Oryzias latipes: one gene and its partners. The protein of the gene in region 1 interacts with the protein of each later gene in a pairwise test. Links are inferred from orthologs where the notes say so. Each region holds a gene or a part of one and is shown on either strand. Other genes may lie near its edges. The genes, in order: trip6, sik3, neu4, bysl, nck2, prkaa2 and nedd9.

Evidence for each region.
Region 2: the proteins of trip6 (region 1) and sik3 interact in binary tests that used the Homo sapiens proteins (3 or more experiments, as listed by UniProt). The two-hybrid records come from large-scale screens. The link is inferred for Oryzias latipes from reciprocal best matches to the Homo sapiens genes TRIP6 and SIK3.
Region 3: the proteins of trip6 (region 1) and neu4 interact in binary tests that used the Homo sapiens proteins (3 or more experiments, as listed by UniProt). The two-hybrid records come from large-scale screens. The link is inferred for Oryzias latipes from reciprocal best matches to the Homo sapiens genes TRIP6 and NEU4.
Region 4: the proteins of trip6 (region 1) and bysl interact in binary tests that used the Homo sapiens proteins (3 or more experiments, as listed by UniProt). The two-hybrid records come from large-scale screens. The link is inferred for Oryzias latipes from reciprocal best matches to the Homo sapiens genes TRIP6 and BYSL.
Region 5: the proteins of trip6 (region 1) and nck2 interact in binary tests that used the Homo sapiens proteins (3 or more experiments, as listed by UniProt). The two-hybrid records come from large-scale screens. The link is inferred for Oryzias latipes from reciprocal best matches to the Homo sapiens genes TRIP6 and NCK2.
Region 6: the proteins of trip6 (region 1) and prkaa2 interact in binary tests that used the Homo sapiens proteins (3 or more experiments, as listed by UniProt). The link is inferred for Oryzias latipes from reciprocal best matches to the Homo sapiens genes TRIP6 and PRKAA2.
Region 7: the proteins of trip6 (region 1) and nedd9 interact in binary tests that used the Homo sapiens proteins (3 or more experiments, as listed by UniProt). The link is inferred for Oryzias latipes from reciprocal best matches to the Homo sapiens genes TRIP6 and NEDD9.

Annotation. Positions count from the first base shown.
Region 1 is NC_019876.2:14,759,854-14,763,980, forward strand, and holds the start of trip6 (thyroid receptor-interacting protein 6), read right to left. Parts: upstream 2,801-4,127; 5' UTR 2,711-2,800; exon of another isoform or gene 2,630-2,710; intron 2,241-2,629; 5' UTR 2,200-2,240; intron 1-2,199. UniProt on the Homo sapiens protein: Relays signals from the cell surface to the nucleus to weaken adherens junction and promote actin cytoskeleton reorganization and cell invasiveness. Involved in lysophosphatidic acid-induced cell adhesion and migration.
Region 2 is NC_019871.2:32,767,511-32,771,010, reverse strand, and holds part of sik3 (serine/threonine-protein kinase SIK3), read right to left. Parts: intron 2,284-3,500; coding exon 2,122-2,283; intron 2,051-2,121; coding exon 1,926-2,050; intron 1,846-1,925; coding exon 1,722-1,845; intron 936-1,721; coding exon 817-935; intron 543-816; coding exon 432-542; intron 327-431; coding exon 192-326; intron 1-191. UniProt on the Homo sapiens protein: Positive regulator of mTOR signaling that functions by triggering the degradation of DEPTOR, an mTOR inhibitor. Involved in the dynamic regulation of mTOR signaling in chondrocyte differentiation during skeletogenesis.
Region 3 is NC_019871.2:13,922,781-13,926,855, reverse strand, and holds neu4 (sialidase-4), read right to left. Parts: upstream 2,801-4,075; coding exon 2,600-2,800; intron 2,002-2,599; coding exon 1,746-2,001; intron 1,261-1,745; coding exon 314-1,260; downstream 1-313. UniProt on the Homo sapiens protein: Exo-alpha-sialidase that catalyzes the hydrolytic cleavage of the terminal sialic acid (N-acetylneuraminic acid, Neu5Ac) of a glycan moiety in the catabolism of glycolipids, glycoproteins and oligosacharides.
Region 4 is NC_019863.2:2,276,684-2,280,619, forward strand, and holds the start of bysl (bystin), read right to left. Parts: upstream 2,801-3,936; 5' UTR 2,692-2,800; coding exon 2,427-2,691; intron 1,799-2,426; coding exon 1,642-1,798; intron 1,545-1,641; coding exon 1,406-1,544; intron 1-1,405. Other genes in the region: med20 (mediator of RNA polymerase II transcription subunit 20), read left to right, coding at 2,998-3,011, 3,184-3,329, 3,877-3,936. UniProt on the Homo sapiens protein: Required for processing of 20S pre-rRNA precursor and biogenesis of 40S ribosomal subunits. May be required for trophinin-dependent regulation of cell adhesion during implantation of human embryos.
Region 5 is NC_019879.2:10,283,170-10,287,425, reverse strand, and holds the start of nck2 (cytoplasmic protein NCK2), read right to left. Parts: upstream 2,801-4,256; 5' UTR 2,530-2,800; intron 1-2,529. UniProt on the Homo sapiens protein: Adapter protein which associates with tyrosine-phosphorylated growth factor receptors or their cellular substrates. Maintains low levels of EIF2S1 phosphorylation by promoting its dephosphorylation by PP1.
Region 6 is NC_019862.2:3,538,888-3,542,387, reverse strand, and holds part of prkaa2 (5'-AMP-activated protein kinase catalytic subunit alpha-2), read right to left. Parts: intron 3,406-3,500; coding exon 3,067-3,405; intron 2,988-3,066; coding exon 2,861-2,987; intron 1-2,860. UniProt on the Homo sapiens protein: Catalytic subunit of AMP-activated protein kinase (AMPK), an energy sensor protein kinase that plays a key role in regulating cellular energy metabolism.
Region 7 is NC_019869.2:19,387,596-19,390,687, forward strand, and holds the end of nedd9 (enhancer of filamentation 1), read right to left. Parts: intron 2,749-3,092; coding exon 1,621-2,748; intron 1,547-1,620; coding exon 1,457-1,546; intron 1,322-1,456; coding exon 812-1,321; 3' UTR 501-811; downstream 1-500. UniProt on the Homo sapiens protein: Scaffolding protein which plays a central coordinating role for tyrosine-kinase-based signaling related to cell adhesion. As a focal adhesion protein, plays a role in embryonic fibroblast migration.

The DNA of each region.
Region 1 (4,127 bases):
TTCTTCCAAAAAGCAGATGTTTCGCTGCATGTTTGACCAAATTCATAGTTTTACATCTGTGTCCGCGTTTAAAAAAACACTGGAAACTAAAGTCGTTTAATTAGGATGTTGGACCAAAGATGGACTCCTGTTTCCTCCTCGTTGAGTAGAACAGACAGAAGCATCAGATTCTCTATTTTACACAAATATTAGCTTTCTTATGAGCTGTTTATTATAACAACAGAAAAAAACTGGAAAAATGTATCAAAGCAACATAAAATTGGCAAAAATGATGTCATTATTTACATGTGTTCACTGAAATAAATAAAGTTTTGGACTAAAATATGTAGAACAGGATTTTCTGAGGATCACTTCACTTCTATGTATCCAATTTTTGTAAGCAAATAAACAGTTTTACGGTTTCTTTCTAAATAAAGCACCGATATGCGTGTAAATGGGTCACATTAGTACGCAACCATGTGACACAAAGGAGGTAACCAATCAGAAAAGACCCAGTTTAACAGTGGAAAAGGGCCAAACAGCTTGGAACAGACAGAGGAAGAAACTAAAGGACAAAGGAATTGGGTTACATTCAAAATGTCTGTCTTATACTTACTTATAATTTTGGCTAAATATTTAATTCACAAGTTTAAATATGCTCACAAAAAAAACAGTATATTATATTTTTCAAAAAGAAATAATTCTGTATGTAAATTGTATTGAATCCTGCACTAACAAAAAAGCTGTTAACACAGTTGAAACATGGTCACATTTAAGACTTTAGCAGAATCCTTTACCTTTATTATTTATGTTTTTTTACCTGTTTTATCTGGTTATTATTATGGCTTTTTGACATTTTTTTTTGGTTTATTTTACTGGCAAATGTGAACATTTTGTCATTTGCACACAGTGTGGAGTGTCAATATTTGATATTCTGTATGTGCAATATTTGTTAATAAAGTTTATTTTAAAAAGTTTGTCTAATAACTAACCTGAAAACTAATGCTGGTGCGAAAGTAAATCACATTGTAGGACATTAAAAAGAGCATAATATAGCCTCTTTAACCTTTAAAAAGTCTTTTTTTTTACTATTACAGGTACTAAGCAAGTATTACATCTACTTTCAAGATGACCTGAACACAAATCCTTCAAATTGAATATATTTCTTAATAAATCTTTATCTTACTTCATGCGGGTTGCCCAATATGCTCTCAAAACATGCCGTCACTTATTTTGTAATGTTGGTACCGCTGCAATCAGGACCCTCACATCAAGCCAAAGTATTGTTGATGTGGAAAAATAAATAAAGCTCTCAGAGTGATTGTAAATAGGCTGTGGGTCCATCTTTGCAGCTAAGAGGATTATAATGACAGATGAGGGGATGATGAAGCCACACTTTAACACAATGCTCCACAGAAAATCGTTCAGCCTTTTGTTTATCGTTATTATGATGATTATTTTTATTTCTTTTAGTATTCTGATGGTCACACCACAGCCATATTGACCGTCTGCTCCATCCTTGCACATGTGCCAGATAACAACCAGCCTTGAAGAACCTGATTTAAGTCTGTCTGACTCTGTATGAACACACACTCAAATCCCAGGCTGGAAAATTAATCCCAGGAGTTTCATCAGTCTGCGGATTAAAGCCAGTTGTTCTGTCTCTGAGACTTGCATAACAAATCATCTGATGAGGTCGGACTCATTCATTATTTTATTTAAAGAGGCACAGAAACTCTCAAAAATGAATGAAAGGAGAACACAGGCAACAACAAGAAATCTACTGATGTATTTTTATAACTGATTTGTACAACTAGTAAAATCCGTTGAGACAACCGTGTTGTAATATGGGGCTTTATAAATAAAAATGAACTTCCGGTAATTCAAATAAAAGAAAAACCAAACACCTAAAATAGCCTAAACGTTGGCACGTTAGAACTAATAAAAGAATAGAAAAACCTATTCATAATGTTCTAAGATATTCTTAAGGAAAAAAAACTATCTGGAATATGTTCGGTAGAAGTAGAAATGGAGGCTTTTATTTTGAAAGCACTGAAAAGTGGTCAGACACAATTTTGATTTGTGGGTTTTTGAGTCAGTCGCATTAAAAATAAAGCATTAAAATATGTAACCGCCGTAAATATATTACATTAAATAAAAAAAAGGGGGGGGGTAAACACACATATTTATAAAAAATAAAAAATATTCGAGATTTCTTACCTGTTACGGTGAAGCTATTGTCTTCTTTTCTTCGGTCTCATCTACGAAAACATCAAATAAATTAGTAAAACGACATGGAAGCAATACACGAACTACTTTAAAAATAAAACAAATTTTACAGCGATGTTTTTAGGTGCTGCTAAGAAATCTGCAGCTGTCTAAATCTGTCAGTGTCAGTGCGTCACACACTACCATAACAAACACGCAAAAAATAAAAAGTAAAAACAAATTAAAAAACAATAAGAGCAAAAATTAACTGCCTATCTTCGATAGAAAAACGACTAGCTTTGCTTAGAAAAAGAAAAAAAAAGAACCGTTATGAACTCGACATTTCGCTAGGTAGGCTCCTGGCTAACTTTCCAGCCCGACCCAACAGGGAACAACGCAAAAAATGTCGCCTATAAACCGAAACGTCGTAAAAACAGACGACCTGCAGCTGAGTTTAGGCGTTCCGAGGTGTGTGAAAAGCATCTCCAAAAAGTTTATTTCTGCGGAAGCGCATAAAACCCACTTTGTCGCGGATCCACAGGCCTTTAGTTTAGCAGCTCCTCGCTACATTCCCAACGTGTGACGTCACGTTACTGCATGCGCGTGCCCGCAATGGCGCGTGCCTGCTTTCAAAATAATTGAACTGAAGGCAAAGTGGCAATTCTACGGAAAAGGATAAGGAACGAGAATAGGGAAAAAAACCCGGCGAAAATAGCTTTTCTCCATATAATTCAGTCGTTTTCCCTTCGAATTCTGACGTAAACTCAGAATTCAAAAATAATTTTTTTTAAAAAAAATAAATAAACCAGAATCTAAAGAAAGAGAAAACAGAGTTGTGAGATTAAAGTTGACATCATGGAACCATGAGAATAAACTCCATTTCTGACTTTTTTTTCCTGAGAATGAAATCAGAATGTTTACTGAGATTACTGAGAATTGTAAATGATGGAAAAAGAATTCTGAGAAAAAAATACATTCTGAGTTTTATTTCAGAGTTCTTAAATTAATTCTTAATTCAATAAATGTAAATGTTCTTACCACATTTTTTTCTTCCTGCCCTTAATCTTTTTCAATACCACCAAAACAATAACCTAAGTACTCTAGAGTAAAAAAAAAAAATTACCGGTATGTAGTAACACAATAATAATTAATAATAATAATTGATACTTTATTTATCCCACAATGGGGAAATTCTTCTCTTCATCCCATCCCCTGGGGGAGTGGTGAGCTACAGCCGAACGGCGCTCAGTGGCGTTAAGGGACTTGCCGAAGGGCCCTCACTGGGGATGTTAATTGCTTGCCATTGATATGGTTATTATTCCATTGTAATAATGTAATAATTCCATTATTACCATTATTCATTACCCTCCGAACCATGGATTCCTGCGTGGTAGCCTCTCACCTTACCAACCGAGCTACCCAGCCGCCAGTAAAACACTATTAATTAGTAAAACATAAAACAGTGAAACATATTTAATTAATCAAAAAAAAAAACCACCAGAAATTGACCAACTGTAATTCTGTTTTCTTTTCAGATTTAAATAAGTACAATTACAATGAATTGAGTACAAATTATTATTTTATTCTGTATTTAGGCAAAGAAAAAAACATTTTCGTTTTTAAGGACAACATTCCACCTGACACTATTTTAATACAATTTTTGAAAGAACTACTTCAGGAACCTTTTTATTGCAATGGCATCTTTTTCATTTCTTTTTTTAGAACAAATACATCTAAACAAACTTTTACCAAAATCACAGTCAATTTGTCCATTTTTAACACTGTTCATTCCCAGTTAGCTTGTCATAGATAGCATGTCTTGTCTGGTAGTGCTTCTTCATAGTGAATATGAAAACATAATTTAGCCAATTGCAACCAAGAAATCATACACAAATTGTTTAGGAAGTGCTATGGGCTGCAGATTATTGATTTTATGACAG
Region 2 (3,500 bases), on another chromosome or scaffold:
TTCATAGACAACCTAAAAATTGTAGAATTAGAACAACTTGTTCTTTGTTGTTCTAATTTCCAATTAATTGCTGTCCAAAAACCGTCGTCATTGCTGAACTTTGCATTCCAGAATCAAAAGTTTGCTGCTTTTTCTGATGTTGAAACACAATGGTCTTGAAAAAAGAAAACCCCCCCAGAAAAAATCCTCACCTGTACAGCATTTGGAAGATAGCTAATAGGTCGTGGTGTGGGCGGGGCGACACGAAGGGTCTTGTGTTTCTTGAGGCGTTCAGCCAGCAGACTGTAAATGGCACTGTAGTGATCATATGCATCTGTTTGTAGAGACTGGAGAAAGGAAAAAATAAAATAGCAGCGATTATAATGTTTGATAAAAAAGGCTGTGCTGATGACAGACGGCAGAAACGCCTGCCCGGTGCACACTGAGCTGACCTGAAGTGTGCGCTCCCTGTCCAGGCCCATTTCGGACATGGCCATCAGCACCTGCTCATTGATGAGCTCCACCTCTCGCTCGGTCTTCACCTGCTCACACTCAGCTATAAGCTAAAAAGGGAAGACAGGCAAGGGCAGAATACAGGGCAGGTTTTAGTCCAAAGTGGCTTTCCCATGAGGCACATGTCTAGGACAGCCCATGTTTGTTTTTGCCCCAAATGTTTAACCAAATTCAACATTCATGTAACTATTGGCATCGGTACTTCTATTTTTAAGTTGTAAATCAAAGTATATTCACTGATGGACATAAACTAAAAAGAGTTCAAAGAGACGGAAACAGTCAGCAAGCGGGAACTTCCTGAAAAATCGTGAAGGTTTGTTTTACCCGATCAAAGTCTGGGTCTGGATCTCCTTGTCTCATCCACTTGTTCTTACAAATCTGTTCCATACTCAAACGTCTGCTGGGCTCCAGAACTAGCATGTGTCTTATTAGGTACTCACAGTCTGCAAGGAGAATGATAACATTTCTTAGCAAAAAGTAGTTTATTTATATGTACTCTAAGCATACCTAGTCTATACCAAGGATGGCCAACCCTGGTTCTCAAGAGCCTCAGCCCTGCCTGTCTTCCAGTTCTCCCTGCCCAGCTTTCTCCCAATTAGCCAACTCCAGTGATTCCACATCCCTACTGACTGAACACGCATGATTTAGGGAGTCGGCATCAAGCAGTTCAGAGAGAGCTGGAAAACAAGCAGGATTGAGGCTCTGTGAGGACCTGGGTTGGTCAGCCCTGATCTATGCTACAAAGGGAAGCAGTATACCTGAAGTTTACTTTTGATATATGATCTATTTATTGCAAACTTGAAATGTTCCAATTTAGTCTGAAGCGGTATCCAGTTAGTATACTTCCTACACTACACAGAAACGGTCTTTAGTATATTTGCATTACTTTTACTCAAGTATACCTAATAAAATAAACTTCAAGTGTACTACTTTTATGAAGGGAAGAAAGTAAAATTGGGAAAAAAACAATCATATGCACATATCGAGGGGCCATTTATTTACATGATGCAAGAGTTTAAACCGTCTTTCAAGACGTTTTGACAAGCAACAAGTCTATGTATCCAAGTTTTAATATTGGATGAATCATAAGATTCTTTAGCCTTTTTTTATGTTAAACACAAAATTAGGAAATGCTATCGTTGATATATAATTGGTCATAGTGAGTTGTTTTTTGTCTTTGTTCAGCCTCAAAGTGGGCGGAGGACACAAACAAACACACAAGCTCCTACCTGTGGACATGAAGAAAGGGATGCGGAACTTTCCACTGAGAACACGCGCCCGCAAGTTTTGTAGAGTGCTGCCATCGAAGGGTAAGGCGCCACACACCAGCACGTATAACACCACCCCCAAACTCTACACCGGGAGAGAAGAATGCCCTCAGAGTTCAAAACGGAATTACTGATTAGTCAGGAGGCTTTCAGTCCGTTACTTACCCATATATCAACTTTAGGACCATCGTACTCCTTCCCTTCAAAAAGCTCTGGAGCAGCATAAGGAGGGCTGCCACACCAGGTCTTTAACAACTGGCCTCGAGAAAAGATGTTGCTGAAACCAAAATCTGTCAAAAGAACAAATGGGATCACTTCTTTTTTAGAGAAAACTGTCAAATCACAAACACAAAAAACACACCTGCAATTTTGATGTTGAGGTTGTGGTCCAGTAACAGGTTCTCCGCTTTTAAGTCCCTGTGGACAATATTGCGGCAGTGGCAGAAGTGGACGGCGGCCACAATTTGCTTGAACTTCTTCCTGGCGTCCTTTTCTGCCATGCGCCCATGAGCTACTAGGTGGTCTGTGGAAACAACAGAAGAACTCAGAAAGTCTAGACCAGTGTTTTTTAACCAGTGAGCCACGGCACACCAGTGCACAGTGAGAGATGTTCAGGTGAGCCCCAGGAAATTACTCATTTTCTCTGATCTAAAAACATTTACCATCTCCAGAATATCAGCTCGTAGTTCATGAAAACGAGGCTCAGGTTTCACACTGACCCCTTTGTGGAGCTCTTCAAAATAAAAGTGCCAGATTTCTCAGCATCTTCAGTGTCTTTTATTAAGAGGGCGAAAAATAGTAGACAGTAACTCCTCCCTTACGCAGCAGCATTTTCAGGTTTATGAGCACATTTTTGGACACGTGTTAAAGCAGAAGCAGAGGACACGGGCTTGGGGGGGGCGGTGCAATCTGCTGCACACGTCTGTGCAGAACTGGTGATCTGAACGGATCACGGATCATCTGTGCAGCTGTAGCAGCTTCACGCAGGATCCGGTGACAGAGCATTTAAAAAGTGGATAAAATAATGGAGCTCAGAGCACCACTGGCTTTCACTACAACTCCCATGATGCATTGGGCTAATGTAACGGCATTGCTGTTAACCGTCATGAAGCACAACAAACGCAAACGTCTGTGCTAACAGTCTGCAAATCTTCTCGATGAAATCAGAAAACCGTTTATTTCTCCTTCAAGAAGAACAGAATTAAAGTCAGAGATTCCAGAGTTTGGTCCAAGTCATCTTTATAAAAGAAACAACTGCTTTCTGATGTTTGAAGGACAAATTCTATTCCAGACTTCAGTCACTTTAATAAAGTAGATATTAGGTTTAAATAAAAGTAACAAAAACAAAGAAGCAGCATTAAGGTGGAGTTTCCAACAGACACATTTAAACTGAACGGAAACAATTTAATCTCCCAAAAATAAATGACACGTTTTTGTTAAAGTTACTTTTTTTAATTTAGACAAAAGAAAAAAATGGATAAAACTTTAACGTGGTCACGTTTGTGTAGTTACAATTTATCTTGTAATCCTGAAGATAATGTTGGTCTTTTTGTCTAAAATTGATCAAACATGAAAGGGTTAATGGTCACAAAGTGTGCATTATCAGAAATTAAAGCATGCCGCAGAAGCCTGATCCGTCCAACGTGAAGTGTTACTTTCTGATAATGCACACTTTGAAGGCCATTAACCCTTACATACCATGGTCATTTATAAAAGAAAGAAATATTAAATCCGTTTATA
Region 3 (4,075 bases), on another chromosome or scaffold:
GATAAAAAGCATAATGTCTCAGAAGCTTAAAGTTGCTAAAAATTCACTGACTAGTGGCAACCAAGAAAGCACCAAGAAACTTTAGATAATTGAAAAATATGAGCATTAAAAACCCCAACTACAAATGTTCTTAAGAAAAAGCAGCATTAAAATGGGCGTATACTAAAAAAAGCTTATGAAAGTTACAATCTAATATTTAATTTGCTGGAAAAAAATCACATACCCAGATGCACCTGAGGAGAGAATACATTGTTTTTAAAATGCTATTAATCAAAAGATACTTCGTCTGGATGTCATACATTTCAAACTGTGCTTAGGAAGAAGAACACATCTCGAGCAGCTTGCTCTTCTTCCTCCTCTTCTTCACGTGCGGCCTCGGCTGCACAGCAGGTGTCCTTTGGGTTTGCTGTTTACAGCTCCCGCTGGTCTGTCTGCAGTCATCCTCCCTGGGCTGTACATCCACGGGCAGATTGTCGATGAGCTCATAGAGGGTGAAAATGCTGAAGCAGATTTCATCGTAGGGGGTTTTGGTGCCGCACTCAAAGAGGCAGGCGAAGGCCACGGCGGGCACAGCTCCAGGTGAGGCTGACAGCTCCAGGTAGGCCAGATCAGAGTACGCGCTGGGACCCTCATAGATCACCCAGGGGCCACGCCAGCTGTCTGGATCACGTGGAAACAGGCTAAGGAACAGACCCAGATCCTGGCGGGCGGTGGTCAGTGTTGGATGGGAATACACCACCCAGGTAGGATTTAGGAAATCTGGATTAGGATGGTGTAGGTGCATGTTGCTAGTGTGGGATGTCCAGTGTCTGGAGACAAGACGCTTTGAGCAATTCTTCAGACTTTTGGATAAATGTAACGGGGCAGGAAATCCAACAATGCTACCATGACAACCATTTCGAGGCTCCACCAGTCGGGGCACCAGCTGCCCTGACTGGAACACAGCTCCGTCATCCAGACTGAGGGCTTGTACCCTGTATCCCAGAGGGCTTCGTGCGTTGCAGTACAACACGTTGGAGCCGTCTTCTTCATCCACAGACACCATCTGGCACTCCACGCTCTCTGGAGCTGGAATGGCTTCTCCAAAGCGCCAGCTCCTGCCGTGCGTGTCACTGTGGAAGCAGAAGGAGCGAGGAGTGGTCTGACAGAGGCGCCCCAAACACTCTTTGCACTCGATGTGATAGGCATAGGCAGGAATTAGCAGACGGCCCGACTTCAGCTGTAGGCCGTGACCCGGGCCCAGAGCAAACGTGGCCCAATCTGCTGGGAAGAAGGAGAGGAATGGGACTATGAAAAAACAGTTATAGCATGTATCATTTTCAGAACACAGCTAGCATTTTTCCCTAATTCCTATTTAATTGTTGGCAATTTGATAAAGATTTCCTCTTTTCCCATAGGAGCTCTACAAAGTGTGGTTTTTAACTAAAGATTGTTGTTTTTCTGTGCTTTAACAATATAAAGGTGGTTTCTATGCAAAAAGAGATCAGAAATGCAAATATCTTTTGGAGATAAATTAATGACTGAGTATCTTGGCCACTCTGATACACACAGAGGTGTATCATGTATCATGAGGTGTATCAAGTTTTTGGGGCTTTCAGAAGTTTTTTTTTTTTTTTGTCTGACTTCGTTTTCATTTGAAGTCCAGAGGAGAAATAAACATCTTAGGCTTCATTTGTGCTGTTTTTTTCTTCATCTCAAAAAGACTATCCAGATTAAAAATCTGTTCAAAGTGGACATGTTTAGACCTTTAATGGTGTCTCCTATGACTGTCTTGGTCAAGTCGGTGACTGGACTCCAGGTGTCCCCCCCATCGGTGCTGGAGATGTAGCAGAGCCGGGTCACGTTCTTCCCCGTCACCAGCTGGTAGGACTCTGACGTGTGGCCGAGAACAGCGATGAAGAAGAGGAAGAGCGTTCCCGTGAAGTCATCGAACACTGGACACGGGTTCATGGACCTGTGGCCTGGAAGGTAGGCAGTGCCCAGAACACTGATGTTGCCCCACTGCCACAAAAATCAGTTAAGAGACAAGGGCAGAAAAAAGTATACGTAAAAGAAATGAACTGATAAAAAACTAAATATGATAATAGACAAATTGTGTTGCAAATATTACTTTTATATAACTGTGTTATATTACTAAAATTTCCTAGTTGAATCTTCTGGAGTCTTCAGTGAATGCCAGTTGTCTGACTCTTTCCTAGGTTCTTCATTTTTGTCTTGCATAAGAAGATTGGTGTTTACACTTGTGTAATTATTGTCTTATTTTAGATATCAAATCTTACTCTATAATCTGTAAATACACCATCATCCTGCAAAAACAATTGTTGCCTCTTATAATTTGTTTTTTAATGTATTTTTGGACATCACTGTGTTCTCCAAACTGATGCTTTTTGTTGTTTTAAACACAATATGGACATAAATCTAAATAAAAAAGAGAAAGGTTTGTTCTGGCTTTTGCACTGTGTGTGTTTTATCCTTTAACTTATCAGAGTGCTGACAAAAATTATATTTGGAGCAGTGCAATGTCAACACAAGCAGAATTTAAAGCAAAACTTTGTGTTTCTGACCGTTAAAAATCACCGCACTCCATCCTATCACAGACCTCCACATAGTTTCTGTAGAAAGTGCCTTTCCTCACAACAAGCAGGTGAGCCTGGGAGTCAGACGGGCTGAGTCTCTCCTCACAGAAGGCCAGGAATGTTCTGTTGCGGGGCACGTAGATCAGAGCTGGGACTCTATACGTCACTCCATTGGACTCTTTTCGGAAAAGCACTGATCTCGCTGGGAAATAAGGCGACCTCATGCTCCAGCAGGACTGTGTGACACTTCCTCAAAGCAAACCCGGAGATTTTCTGCAAAAACGTAAAAATCAGAACCAGCTTTCATTGAAAAATATAGCATGTACATGGGGTGGTGCAAAATACAGAATTAGGAAAAACAATAATTGCCTCAGTAGAAATTATTGCTTTTCTCAATTTTTGATTGGCTTTTATGTGGAATGATAAACATGAATATATTCCACACACGAACAAACATACATTATTAGAAAATGTATCAACTGTGAACAAACCCCAAAAATAAGAATTTATTTCATGATTTCAAAGGTAAACTTGATGAAACAATCCTGAAGAAAAGTCAGGTGACAGAAAAGGTTTTGTTTCTTACTGTCTAAGCTGTCAAGTTTACTTTAGATCCCATTAAAGGAATGAATTAAAAATGAAATGGTAGCACGGGCATTTGTGTAATTAAACGTAGCTTAACCTTTAAAGTACATACTTTATAAGACTAAATGTATCTTGATTGTAGCAACAAAGACTTAACTGGCTGAGTTTTAAATTGTGAGACAATCTCTTCTCTTAAGAGTAAAAATGACATTTATCTGCACATTTTCTCACAATTTTTTAAATTAATGTCCAGGGCACAATGGGGAAGTAGATATGAGTCCTTACCTTTCCAAAGTTCAGAAAGAGCTGCAGCTACTTTGTGTTGGTACAGAGAGTGTTGGGTTTTGGGGATGACAGTGCAGTGAGTTTGTGTATTCCACAGAGGATCTGAAAGCCATGGTCTGTTCTCTCTGTTCACCGCAGCAGCACGGCATGCTGCTCACTGACCCAGAAATGAACACTCATCAGATCTACAGCTTTGGATGAATCAGCGGACAGTGGTCATTGTGGAAAAGATGGCAGAGTGGGAGGGGTCAATCTGAACAAAGAAGTTATGATCTGCCCTCTATGTATTCTCTCTCTGCTTCCCTTTGTCTTCTCATTGCACAGCGCCTGGGAAATAAATAGGTGCTTCTTTCGGTTCAAAGCTCTTCACTGCTAAACTTCCCTTCAAAATGTATCAAAGGTCTATTGAAACTGTTCAACAGTTAGTCTGTATATGTACGTTCTCATATTAGCACCAGTACTGTTCCATATCGTGACTGAAATGTAGAACATTTACGGTATTTATGCATAGAACACAAAAACATAGTGCATTAAAAATTAAGTAAAAACAGAAAAAAGCTTTCAAACAAAGTGTCAAAAATCTTCTTTAGACTCACATGCAAACAATAAATATAAAAAATAGATCACAT
Region 4 (3,936 bases), on another chromosome or scaffold:
AGAGTCATGTTTTTTTGATTTCTCCAGTGCTTTCAACACCATCCAGCCATCACTGCTGAGGAGGAAGCTGGAGGTTGCAGGTGTGGACCAACATCTGGTTGCTTGGACCATCAACTACCTCACAAACAGACCACAGTTTGTGAGGCTGTGTGTCTGATGTGGTGGTCTGCAGCACGGGGGCACCTCAAGGGACTGTGCTCTCCCCACACCTGTTCACCCTGTACACATCGGACTTCACCTACAACTCCCACCACTGTCACCTGCAGAAGTTCTCAGAGGACAGTGCCATTGTGGGCTGTGTTTGTTAAGCTAAGCTAACATCCATCATGGATAACCCCTCCCACCCCCTGCACCAAACTGTAGAAGCGCTGACCAGCTCCTTCAGCATCAGACTGTTGCACCCTCAGTGTAAGAAGGAGCGCTACCGCAGGTCATTCCTCCCCACAGCCATCAGACTGTACAACACCGTGTTATAGTAGCTGTGTTTACATGGGCAAAAGTAATTGGAAAGAACACCTGAATCGGAAGGAAAATGTGTCATGTAAACACACCGTTCAGAATACTCTGCCCTGATCAGACTCGTTTGGATCAAAATGTCTTTCCGATCGAGATAGGTGGGTTATGCCGATTGTTGATCCAATCGTGTTACATGTAAACAGTTCATTCCGATCGTGTCACTACTGCTCTGGTTTAACGTCACGCATAGACGGTGTATCGCTCCAGAGAAAGCTTTGGAGCGCAAACAGGACCAACCGGCTGCTCTGCGGAGGACCGGTGAGAACCGCCGCTCTGCTCTCGCCCTGCTGGCTCTTCACCTCTCCCCTCTCTTACACCCCTCACGAGGGGGCTGCGAGGGGGAGCGCTTCGTGCCCCGTGACGTCTGGACCCTGCGTGGTCCGGGCTCGGGTGCCGGTGGACGGAGCGAACTGTGTCTCTGAGCAGAGCAGCCGGATTCATAACTTTGTGTTTGAGGGGAGTGTTTGTGTTCATCAAAAAAGGCTAATGTTGTTAGCGCGTGTGTTAGCCTCTCCAGGGTTCTTCCACAAAAAAAAGCACTGACCACACGGATTAAAATTAAAATGATGAGCGAACAGGCGCTTCATAATATTCATAACATTGATAAAAGCACGTTTAGAAGATCGTCTTGTATATTACCGAGCTGCTGCATGAATGTATGTGGCAGCTCGGTTTGTTTACTGTGGGACCCATTTCCTCTTTCGGTATTTTCAACACTACTGCTCATGCTCAAATGATTTATTCCAACCGAAAGTGTGACCCATGTGAACGTTTGTTCTAATCGGAAAAAGGTTTTCTGATCCCATGTACACGGTTGGATTTTAATCCGATCCAGATATTTTGCGCATGTAACCGCGGCTTATGTCTTCAATAATATAAGAAAGCTCACCTTTCCCACACCTCTATAAACCTCTGTAATTCTGGGGTCCAGCTGAGGCATGGGGCGCCCTGACACCTCCGACATCACCGTCCCCACTTCGGTCTGCTTCTCAGTGATTTTCTCCATGATTATGTCTGCCAGGGTCCTCCTACGAGAAAGAGAAACATGTTAGTAGGGACAGAAGAAACTGGCCTGGTGGTTTCTGTTTGTTGTTGTTGGTTAGTCAGAACTGCCATGTTTCTTGCCTCATTGGTGGGTTTTTATTCATGAACATCTCAATGGCCTTTTCGTCTTCTGGGTCTACAATAATTTCAGCATCACATTCGGTTTCTGCCGCCCCAGAAACTGCTTCTCCCAGTGCGGGCCACTCTTCATCCGAGTCTGCATCCCCAGATTCAGGACCTACAGTTACAGGAGTGTTTAGAACTCACATAATGAAAAGATGCAGATCTAGATGTATGGAATCACCCAACTAACTACAGAAACGAGTAAATGAAAACATTATTACTTCTATTTTTAAGTATTTATTTACTGAAAGTATTTTAATTTGGAGTGTTTACTAAAACCATCATTAGTGAACAGTTAACTTTATTTTTAAGTCATAGCATTAGTGCATCCCTTAGCAAAAAGTAGTCTATTTAAGTAAACTACAAGTATACTGTCTATACTAAAAGTAAAGCAGTAAACTAGAATTTTCTTTTTATATACATTTAAAATTTTCCAATAAAAGTCTGAAAAAGTATTCAGTTACTATATGTCCTACACTACACGTACATGGTCTATACTTGTACACTACTACACACTTATTACTCAAGTATCCTTAAGTAAACTTCAAGTGTACTTGTCTTTGTTAAGGGTAGATGGGTCTGAATTGTGATGAATCTGTGATGCAACTTTACTAAAGTTGGTCATCGTTTTCTTCGGTAAGAAAAACTAGAACAAGAGAGAACCTTTAGAAACCTTAATCAACGGCTTCTGTTTGATCATTTTCTAAACTGAAGCGGATGTCCTGGTTCTGATCCAACATTACCAAGAACAGTGACCGGTGTCGCCTTCTTCTTCTCCGGTACCAGCCCATATTCGGTCTGAAGCTCCTCTTGCTGAATTCGGGCTTGCTGTAGGATTTTCCGCGACAGCCGCTCGTCTACGTAGGTGTCGTCGCTTTCTGGCCGCTGGTCTCTGCTCTTAACCCGGTTGCGGGCTCGGACCGTGTCCGTCTGCAGGATCTGGTCAGCCAGCGCCACGGATCCAGAGCTCTTTTCTCCTCCACCTTTAGATTTCTTCACTTTCGGCATCGCTACAGCTCCAAAAAAATTTACAAGCTAAAGCCTGTCTATGCCTTTTTAGTGTGTAAACACCCAGCTGTTTAGCACGTGCGGACAAACGGCATGCGCGACAGAGGCAGCGGAAATACATTACGTCACATCCGGTTTCATTAAAAATGTTTCGAAACATTATATATGAAAGAACCTATGTTTATTAACTGAGTTAATCAGTTTAACTCAATTCGTCTATGTTCACTTGTATTTTTATTTTATTTTTTCCTTTACCGGAAGTCAATTTGTTTAACCGGAAGTAGTTGCGAAGGAGGCAAAACAAAAATGGGAGTAACTTGGTAAGGAATATTTTGGCTCATTAAAGTGTAATTATTATTTCAACATAGTTTGGTTTCGCTATGTTTATAGGACCTGTCTATTTCAAATGTTTGTTCTTTTGGGGAAAGCGTGCTCCTCCCCTTCATGGATGCGTTGGGTTGTCGCTGCTCAGTCGGGTGTTTTGTCTTTCAGTGTTTGTCAGGTGCCCATAGCGGAGGGCAAGAGTGTGCAGCAGACCGTGGACGTCCTGCAAAAAAAGCTGGAGCAGCTCGGTTCTGTGAAACAAGGCAGCTTCTGCGTGGATTGTGAGACATACCACGCCACGGGAAACGTTGTCGGTAAGCTCGCTACTTTTTCAAGCATCACGCGGGAAACATATTAGTAGTTATTTATTCATGTGGTAATTAGTTGTGGTTGCTTAGACCTTTAAAAAGCAATTAAAAAAAGGTGATTGGCATATGAGCTCCGTTTGTGCCCTTGCATTTAATTGGTAGCATTTTTAACAAGAACATTCAGGGCTTTTGCTAATTCTTCCTTCAGACACATCTGCAGTAAATATGGGACACAATTAAGCATACATAGCCACTTTATCTTATGTGTGTTTGTCAAATTATCTTGAGAATATTTTACAAATTAGATAAGGGTCCTATTAGTTCTACTGGAGTGTGACGACAGATCACCCCTTCAGCTGCACTTTAATGGCTCTGGCCTTTTATGGTAGAAACCATCTCAAAGCCTTACTATAAAACCAAATATTGTTTAAGGTTTTAGACTTTAAAAACCTTTTTTACATCAATAACAGATGTGCCTTTATTTGAATCATGGATGTGGAGTTTATGTATTATTGAGTTGAATGCATCATCCAGTGTTTCCCGTCTGTCACAGGTCAGCCCTCCAAGCTCTTATACGTGATGCATAACTCTGAAACCCCTCTGAGCTGCATGG
Region 5 (4,256 bases), on another chromosome or scaffold:
CCTGCCTACGCCCAAGTGGCCGGGATAGGCTCCGGCAACCCCGTGACCCCGAAAGGGAATAAACGGTTAAGAAGATGACAGGAAAGATCGGGTTTGTTTTAAAAGAAACGACTAAAAACTAAAAAACGGATCCATTTAATATATGAATAAAAATAGGCAATTCTGAAAACAATATTTAAAACCTAAATGTAGAATTCACACTCCTAGAAGCTTCACAATACATCCATAGTAGAATACAGTAATTATTGTTTACATTTTTCTAAATCACATATTCAAAATCGTGATTGTTGACAATATGATGTATTTGTAAAAAACTCATTTTTGTTATTTTAACTCAAATTAATTGAATTTGACGCACAAATTGTCTTTGGTTTGAACGGACAATCGATTTAAATGGGGGGGGGGGGGGTCATCAAGGGTCATCCGTGATCCGTTGGACCTCTAATACACACCATGCATTTAATGCATGTTAAAGTACCCTTTTTTTTTCTTTTTCTACCATGTACTAGAAAAGGTTTGGTGCAAAAAGTCAAATCTGGTAAATCTTGCTCCAGGTTTTATTTTTTTGTCTTTTCTTTGACAGCTATATTCCAATATATTAAAGACTTGATGCCAGAATTCCAGCCGGGCACAAACCACAATCATTAATTCCTCCTTCATGATCAACTTTCAAACCGTTGGCACTTTCGTGAATTACAAAGGAAACCATATATATGTCACTCCAAAATCCAAGTCCTTGATTGGTCAAAGTTCGACCTGGTTTAACTTCCAACGCGTGTTCATTGTCATAAAAACTTGCGTAGCCAGGCATGAACACAAGAGTTTTGAGCAAAAAAGCCCATAAAACAGTGTTTACATAGACTTCTCATCGAAGGTGTCTGCTTGAAAAACATGTTGCCGAGGGCGATGAGAACATAGCTTAAAGTCAAACTCTGATCATCTTTTGATCTACTGTAAAAGCGTGATGATGCTCTTTTTAGCCAAAATCAAAAAATCTGTGTCGTTTTCTAGGACATAGTTATGCAGAGTGGCAGGAGTTCATCAGAAATTTGCCTCTGAGGTGTGGGCACACAGAGAAAGCCCACCCCCACATCTCGTCATCTATCTGTTTACACTAACTCCCGCTAGCTTAGAGCCCCTCACACATCCCAACCTAACGTTAGGGGTTTCACAAAAAGGGCGGGCAATATTGCAGCTATCCAGCCGTACAGTTCTGAGCCAGATTCCACCTCAGACGAGGTCAACGAAGATGCACAGTCGTGTACTAGTGGAGGCATCAGAATGGAGCAGAGCAGGGAGTTTGTGGCTTGCCGTTGTAAACGCCTACGTCAAAGCAACAAGCTTTTTCCGACAGTAATTTTTCATCGGCTCCTGATTCACAACGATCTGAATAAAGAAATACTCATAAATGCAGTTTTATATCTAAATTTTCTTCATGTATGTCCTCCCTCATGAAAAAAAAAAACAAGAACATATTAAAAAAACTCCACAGTTTTCATCAGAGTGAGTTATTAATAGCTGACAGGGAGAATGGTGTCAGAAACATAGAGGGGGGTGGAAATTCATCTCTAAAACAACATTTCTGCTCCAAGTATCGAATTCCAAGGAAATGATGCAACGGGAGTTTCTGCAGTACAGGACCTGCAGCCTCCTTCCTCATACCTGTCAGTGCGGACTGTAGACCGGGAGAGCGCTTTGCACAGGGTGTGTCTGCAGTAGGTGTGACAAGTCTACCTGAACCACGCAAGAACTTTCAGCACCTTTAAACACCTGGATTTAAATCTGAAAACCCAAATTCTAAATCTAAAATAAAATGTACAAAAATATCCAGCATCAAGTCAGTGAGAGAACAGACAAGGCGTCCTTTGATCCACAGGGGCTGATGAGGCGACAGCATGGTGCAGTTCCCACCAACGGCCGCTAGGAGCACTGACAAGCTCGGCATGTGGCACCAGGCGCCCGGCCGATTTCTGCTGCTTCTTTGGCAAGTGTGCTTCATTGTGTGAGCCGTAGCGCTGTCAGCAGGATCTCGAACCACACCAACCAAACACCTATGATGGCAGAAATTGTTTTCCACGCAAAAAAGTACGAAATTGTAGAACTGAAGTTAAAAGAAACTATTTTAAACAAAGCCGGACCACAGCCTGGAATCCACCACCACCGACCATGGTCTGTGAGTCAGGCCCCTCTAATATTTACTAACCGAAAAAGTACAAATGTTGTTAGTGAACATTTTAATTGATGATTTTAAGTGTGGGAATTTAAACAAATTTATACAATTGTGGGGGTTTAAAAAGTGGTTCGCGAACACTGGAGCGAGATTCGAGCCAAGTCTGTGGTCAGAGTGGACAAAGACCAAGCGTCTCAACGCGAGAAAGTGACACTCCGAGCCTCCCACTCCCACTACGGAGGAAAACCTCCACACATAATTCTGTAGACCAATAAAACCCCTTTCAATCTACGGCACGCGCAGCTGGAAAGAGTAATGTAAGCAGAAGCAACTCACACAGTTGTGTATTTCAGGCTTACCTTACCTTAGTGTTCACTCCAGTCAGAATGGGCAGACAAGCGTCACAGCACAGGGATAGCGCGCGCGGGTCCAACAATAATAAGTGACCAAACCCTCGTCAAAGTGACAAAAAAATTCGTTTAAGTCCTCATCTCCTCTGGTTTATCTCATTTTCTTTCTTCAAACACTGACTAAACCTGTACTGTTCGACGTGTTGTCGCTTGTTTTTCCGTCGCAGGCTGACTGCCTCCGCCTCGATCAGCCTCCTTTCAAGCTAGGAGATACACACTTCTTCACTTCCGTTCCGATTTTTCAAAATAAAGCTAGGTTTGAACAGGGCAAATTCAATTAAAAAGTACAATTTTTGCAAAAACAAGTAAATTAAAATTACATATTAGAAATTTGAAAAATATTAAATGCAGTCAGAAAACACAGTTTAATTAAATATGGTTAAATATTGTTCATGATAACAAACGTGTGCATTTTTCCACATTTTTATGCCTGTGATAAACAAAAATGTACACTGTACTATTATTGCTTTATTGTCTATTCACCACTACTATCTTTATTTAATATATAATTAACTTTTTTCTTTTTTGAAATAGTACATTTTTAGACATATTCAACTTGTACTTCTTCAGGTGTTTTGTCGTCTATTTGACCTATTTTAAATGTCAAAAATGAAAATCTTAGCAACAGCATACAAAAATGTAAAGAAAAGATGATACGAATGTTTAGGAAGAGAAAACTTTGAAACCAAATGAATGTGGAATATTAGCAGAAACATTTATTCTTTCTATTCTTTTTTTAAATTAATGTGTTTTCATTTGCCAATATCTGTCTGGGTGAGGAACATCTAAAAAGAGGTTCTTCACAGTTTAACGGTATATGTGTTTGAAGTGTAGGTGTTTTTTATCATTTTGCAGATGTTTCAGCAGTTTCGCTAACAGCAGTTCCATGTAGTTTACTATTTTCTTTTCTTTTGAAGTCCATATGATGGCATCAAACAACAAATATTTAATCCAGAAAAATTTTCATAAGAATTAAATAAAATAGAAAGATCAACAAGTTACTTTTTTGGTCAATCCCTATCCATTTAAAATCGTATTTTGTTTTGTTTTGCTCTATGGTTACACTTTATCCTTTGTGATGTGGGTAAATGAGTATGCAATTCAAAACGTAAAAAAAAAATCTTTTATTTACCAACTGCTAACGGTCAGAAGTGTATTTACCTAATGGTCATTGAAGCAAGGCTGCAGGCCTAAATGTAATACATGTAAAATTACATATAAATTACATGTAAAATTACATGTATGTCTGTTGGTGAACTGATGTTGTTTATAGTTTACTCGTACCTTAGTTTGGTTATTTTCCTTTTTTCATGCTAACTTTCAGAATCTTTTTGTTAAATCGAGCCTGCTTTTATTTGTTAGGACTCCGCCTCAATTTCCGGTTTGATTCTGATATTCACGTTCAGCTTGATCCCCGGTCCTGGTTGTGACGTCACTAACCCCGGGACGAGAACAGGACAACGCCAGAGGGAAATGGACAGATTGTGGAGGAATATGTCGCCCCTTGGCGATAATAGCGAGAAATAGGAGACGATTAAGCCACATGTCCATTGTTATTCATGTAGATCGCATTTCCTTGCTACTGTAAAGGAAATAAAAATCTTAATTTGTTTAAAAGACATACTTTAAAAAATTAAAATGAAGCTATAGAGGCAACCTTCCTCATACATTCTTCA
Region 6 (3,500 bases), on another chromosome or scaffold:
GCCCCCAATTGTGAAAGGTCTCCCACGTAAATAGATGAGAGAGTAATTTTCATCATAGGTAAACCTCAACTATGAGAGACAAAATGAGAAAAAAGAAATCCGGAAAATCACATTGTCTGATTTTTAAAGAACTTATTTGTAAATTATGCTTGAAAAATAAGTATTTGGTCACCAACAAAGCAAGACCTCTGGTTCTGACAGATCTGTAACTTCTTCTGTGGGAGGATCCTCTGTCCTCCACTCATTACCTGTATTAATGACACCTGTTTGAACTGGTTATCTATATAAAGACACCTGTCCACAACCTCAAACAGTCACACTCCAAACTCCACTCCAAACCAAAGAGCTGTCTAAGGACACCAGAAACCAAACTGTTGAGCTGCACCAGGCTGGGAGACTGAATCTGCAACAGGTGTGAAGAAATCACCTGTGAGAGCAATTATTAGGAAATGGAAGACAGACAAGACCACTGATGGTCTCCCTCCATCTGGGGCTCCCCCCAAGATCTCACCCCGTGGGGTCAAAGTGATCACAAGAACAGTGAGTAAAAATCCCAGAACCACAGGGGGGACCTAGTGAATGACCTGCAGAGAGCTGGGACCAATGTTACAAAGACTATCATCAGTAACACACTACACCACCAGGGACTCAAACCCTGCAGGGCCAGACGTGTCCCCCTGCTAAAGCCAGTACATGTGCAGAACCGTCTAACGTTTGTTAGAGAGCATTTGGAGGATCCAGGAGAGGATTGAGAGAATGTCCTATGGTCAGATGAAACCCAAATAGAACTGTTAGTAAGAACTCTAGGAGCTTAATATTTAAAAAAGAAGGACTTGCTGTTAGTGCATCAGAACATTAGATGTTGAGAGTTGAGAATGTTCTGTAAATGAAGCAACATCAGCTTAAATAGATTGCATTTTGTTTTGAAAAACCCTTAATATTTTTTAAGTTGCTTTTAACTTTAAAATGTAACCATTGGGAACCGCAGACTGATTTTACTGGAGAAAGGATGCTGAGTTGCATCCAAAGAACCCCATACCCACTGTAAAGCATGGGGGTGGAAACATCATGCTTTGGGGCTGTTTCTCAGCAAAGGGACCAGGACGACTGATCACTGTAAAGGAAAGAATGAATGGGGCCATGTATCATCAGATTCTGAGTAAAAAAACCTCCTTCCATCAACAAGAGCATTAAAAAGGAAACGTGGCTGGGTCTTTCAGTGTGACAACGATCCCAAATACGCTGACCAGATAATGAAGGACAGGGTTTGTAAGAAGCATTTCAAGGTCCTGGAGAGTTCTAGTCAGTCTCTAGATCTCAACCCCATAGAAAATCTTTGGAGGGAGTTGAAAGTCTGTGTTGCCCAGTGACAGCCCCAGAACATCACTGCTCTAGAGGAGATCTGCATGGAGGAATGGACCAGAATACCAGCAAAGGTTTGTGAAAACCTTGTGAAGACTTACAGTAAACGTTTGAATGCTGTCATTCCCAACAAAGGTATGTAACAAAGTATTGAGATGTACTTTTCTAATTGACCCAATACTTATTTTCCACCATAATTTAAAAATACATTCTTTATAAAATCAGACAATGTGATTTTCTGGATTATTTTCTTCTCATTTTGTCCTTAAAAAATGACAGGCCTCTGTAATCTTTTTAAGTGGGAGAACTTGCACAATTGGTAGCTGACTAAATACTTTTAAGCCCCGCTCAAAAAAGACAAGATGCAGTTCCTTCTGACCTTCTCTGTTGTTCCTCAAATCCTCAAAGCAAATATTGCATTTGGGTTGTTCTCCTTGCGATGAAACCAAACTGCTGCTCACAAATGTTCACTTCTGACCTCAGTCTAGCTTCCCCTTCTCTTCCTATAACTTTATTGTGACTCATCATCTTTACTCCTCTGTAGTTTTCACAACTCTGCGCATCTCCCTTCTTTCTTCTGGTCCTTCCATCCATCAGAAGATTTCTGCTTCATTCCTCAGACAACCTCTCCTGAGCACGTCCATACCTCCACAGGTGTGTTGTGAGGACCAACTGTATTTCCACTCTTCATCCTCTTCAATGTCTTCTTCACATCCTCCTTACTGATCCTTGGTACTTCCTCCTCTTTTCCTCTGCTCTCTAACATTTTCTTCATTCATCAGCTCATCGACGTTCTCCTCCCATCTTTCCATCACACTAGTAGAACCTGTCACCACATTTCCTTCTCTGTCCGTCATCCTCCTCACCTGCTGCAAACCCTTCCATCTCTCGTCTCATCTCACATGCATTCTTCCTATTTCATCTTCCACCACTTGGTCATCTGCTCTGCTCATGTCCTCTTCGTCTTCCTCACCGCCAGACTCATCCTCCCACCACCATCCTCAACAGTCTGGCTACACCCCCCACTGCCACCACTTTGCAGACTCTGGTCTTGTTCAGATTACATCTGTCCAAAATGTGATCAACTTGTGCGCTCCTCCCTCGACTCTCGTTTTCCTGTGAAGGTTCTGAGATCTTCACTCCTTTCTTTCCTTTTCTCTCTGCCTACAAACCCGCCTTCCTCCTGTCCTTCTTCCACTAACAGTAGTCCAGTTTTCACCAGCACACAGCATTGCTGGCAGTCGTTGTTAACCCGGCCCTCAACAATCCAACACCGAAAGTTCTGTTGGTATGATTTGATTTGGATGCTCTTCCTGAAAAAAACTCTGCATTTACCCAGACTGGTCTCTCAAAAGCACCAAATTCTGCCATCTTGTGGTAAACTGTAAACTACATACTCACAAACATGCTGGTTACAGGACTGAGTCACAGAAAGACTGTAAGTGTTGCAGCTTTGCACATTTAAAGGGAACTGAACTACGTTTGATCTGTCACCAACCATCAATGCTTTTGAAGTCAAGGAGGTAGGATCTGTTATCCACTTGGTAGAGCTGCAGGCTCATTTTCACCAGGTTTCCCGTCACTGGGTTCTTCCTCCGCACACGCAGATGGTATGGGTTCACCACCTGACACACAAGAACAGGCATATTTGCAGAGCCACATGTTTACTGCACAAACCTCTGTGTGTAGAGCTTATGTCGTTACCTTCCAGTCAAAAGCGAGTTGCCTCATAGCCCGGTACACCTCCGTCATGATGTCATGGGGTCTGCTCTGACTCCTGATCCCCAGGTGCCACTTGGCTTTCTTCACTGCTAGCGGTTTAGGCCGGGTGGTGTTGAGAGCATCCAGAGGACATCGAGACTTGGGGCTGTCAGCCATAAGTGGAGGCATCCTCTCTGGGTGGGGTTTGACCCCAGGGGGCAATGGCATACCCTCCTCTATAAAAGAGCCCTGTGGAGGACTGGATGCCAAGTAGAACTCGCTGGCCTGCGTCATGATGCGTCGATTATCTATGATGAGGTGATACGCCACCGCTAACTGATCCTGTGTGAACAGGAGGAGGAGGAACAATGAAGACAAGATAAGACATTTCTTCAGATGTGACATCCTACAGCGTGCAACTGCAAGCATAAAATACT
Region 7 (3,092 bases), on another chromosome or scaffold:
CAGTAATTTGTCGTTTTTCGTGCAGTGATGAATCATGTTGAACGCTTTAAAGACTTCAGGGAAGCTCTCCGGTCTTCTCAGGCTGCAGGATTTATGCTCACATGACGGCTTCACTGCACCCCAAAGAACAGAAAACCTGCAGCAGATGACACGCTTTTTTGGGTAAGGGGCTTTTCTCACGCTGCAGAGGACATCTGCTCTGCCTCCATCTGAAGGCCAACTCCATCCAGCGCTGCATTCACAGAGAAGCTCCAAGCGGGTTTTTTTCAGCCTGAGCTGAGTTTCAACCTCCAACTATTCAGGCCGATCTTTTGTCAAACTTCAAATAATGTCGCTTTTCTTAGACCTGCAGGTCCTGACATGATGTAACTCTTTTGTTTTGTATGGTCTGACTTAATCATTCAACCTTAAGTATTCAAACAGGAATGATTTAAGTCCAACATTGTTAGAATAAAGTATTTGAGCGAGATACGGGAGAAGAACAACACTGAAAAGATGAACACGTTTCAGTCTTTTACTTTTTGGCAAGCGCCACAAACACAGACACGAGTTACAGGCAAATTTACGGTCACACGTCACACTATGACACACCAGCCTCGCTCCACAATGGACCACAGCTCATAAGGTGCTTTACAAATACAGGAATGTCATGAAAAAAAATGTCCGGCGCATCCTGCAGCAACACAAGTTCAGAGTATAAAACCATCTACACAAAAATAGAGCGGGTTTTTACAGAAGAGACTATGTACAGGAAAAAAGCAAATATATATAACCCAGCAGACAGCTGTACAGGAAATGAGATGATGGATGGTTAGGGCTTGGCCATGTGCAGCAGCTGCTCCTTAAACTGCTGTGCGTGGTGAGACAGGTCGGTGACACGGTCCACCATGTCCTGGACGGCGGCGGTGTTGGGGTAGTTCAGAGCGGCCGTTTTGGTTGCTCCCACCACCGTTTTCAGCAGGTCACACAGCACATTACTGGCGTTCATCACCCTGTTGGCCACCTCGGGGGACGAGGCTTGTCGGGACAGGGTGTCCCCGATGAAGACCAGCTTATGGGCGCTGAGGATGACAAACTTGCTGTGAGCTACAAAGATGCGAGGGGGCTGGCCGGCGCCGACGCAGCCGAAGAAGGCGTCGACGGCGCTGAGGAGCGTGACAAAGTGCTGCTTGCACTGCTCGGCGTAGAAGGCGAGCAGCTGGCGGTCCCGAGTACAGACGAGGGCGGAGGAGGAGTCAGAGGGAGAGGCAGATATCCACTGAGGCACATCGTTCTCTACCGGCTTGATGACCTCCTGCTCCAGCTTCTTGAACTGATTGATCTGTGGAGAAGCAAAAATTTAAGTCAGATGGTCGGCTTTTATGTCTGTTCAGCCCAAGTTCAGGGAGACTGAGCTTCATCTCTGCATGGACATTCATGAAGCTGCGTGAGAGGAGAACCTCTTCATCTTCCTCACCTGCTCCTGACCCAGCTGGACTTGACTCTGCTTGATGATGTTCTCCTTCTCCAGAAGCTCCTTTTGCTGACGCTCAAAGTCTTCTTTCCCCTGCAGGCAAACAGAGTTAAATGAAGCAGAAAGATCTCATATTCCAGCAGAAGACACTAAGCAGCCATTTGTACCTGCAGGTGGACGTAGTCGTAGTCTTCCATCCAGCTCTTTACGCACTTCTCACTGTTGTTCAGGTTGTCTTTGTCCTGGGGGGAAACGGGGAAGGGCTTGGTCCGGCCCCTGTAGTTGTCGTTGTCTGCAGAGGGGGAGGTCACCTGATGTGTGGGGTTGTCCTCGGGCGTAGCCCGCCGGAAAAGCAGCTCCATGTTGCTGCTGATGGAGGCAGCGAGCTGCTTGGCGTCGTCAGGAACGCTGCGGGACACCATGACGAAGCGCTCCACGTCGTCGCTCTTGTTCAGGTGTTTTCCGGACGCCGTCAGCGCGTTCAGACTCCAACCGCTGGCCTCCAGGGTTTGGTTGATCTGCTGCAGGATCTGCTGGGAGTCCTCCAAGCGCCCCAGCTGCCGCCGCAGCTTACAGTGGAGGCTGGAGTCAGATAGGGAGGCGGCGTTCACCGCAGCGCCCCTACCAAACACAATGAAGTCCCTTATAGCGGCCCGGACCCGATCCAGCACAGTGCGGAGGTCATTGGTGTGTTGCTCCATAAGGGGAAACGTCCTCCAGTGCGGGGAGGCTGCCATTGATTGCAACGCCCCTACAGAAAGCTCCACCCCTTGCTGCAGGCGGTACAGCCGCTGCACGGCGGCGTCTGCGTCCAGCGCCAGGCGGCCTTCAGGGGCTGAGCCCGTGGAGGATGAGGAGGTGGACATGCTGCTGCGCGAGCTGCCAGTGCTCGAGAACGACAGCCGGTTCACGCCGTCCGTCACGTCCGTCACCGCGCGCACTTCCTGTGCCGGGACGTCGTAGATGCCGTTTCCGTCAGAAGCGGAGTCTCTCAGCTGGGAGGGCTGCATATTCCGGGGGAAGTCATAAATGTCCTGCTGAGCCCCCGCCCCAGACTGAAGGGCAGACGGGGGCACGTCGTAAATTCCTTCATTGCCATTGGAGTTCAGGTGATGGGGCGGGGGCTCATAGCTGAGGGGGAAATCATAATGAGACTGGGGGCTTTGAGTGGCCTTGGTGAGGGTGGGGGGTGGAACGTCATAGATGCCTTCTTGTTTGTGCTTCAGGGACTGTGGGAAGTCATAGTTGCCCTCCTGGAGGCCAGCGTTGGTCCTGCAGGGGCGGACGGAGTACACCTGTGGGGGGGAGGACTCCTGTTAGTGCTCTGCAGCAAATACAACCCTAAAATAGTGCTGGGGAGGGGGGTGCAGCACGCTCTGGTTTCATGGGAACAAACCTTTAAGTAGTTTGCCTAAAAAAACATTTTATTCCTTTTTATCCTCCCCCTCCCACCTGAGGCAGACTGGCCCCTTCAACAGGGAAGTGGACAGTGAAGTGAGTTTTTTTTTTAATGTGAGGATCTTTTAAAAATCCTGAATTTTCCACCTTTGTTTCCTCATGTTTGGGGACTGTGACGTCCCTTTGGGGGCGCACCCCTCAGAGGATTACAGTTCTGGACCTGATCTGGGCCCTCTACGTC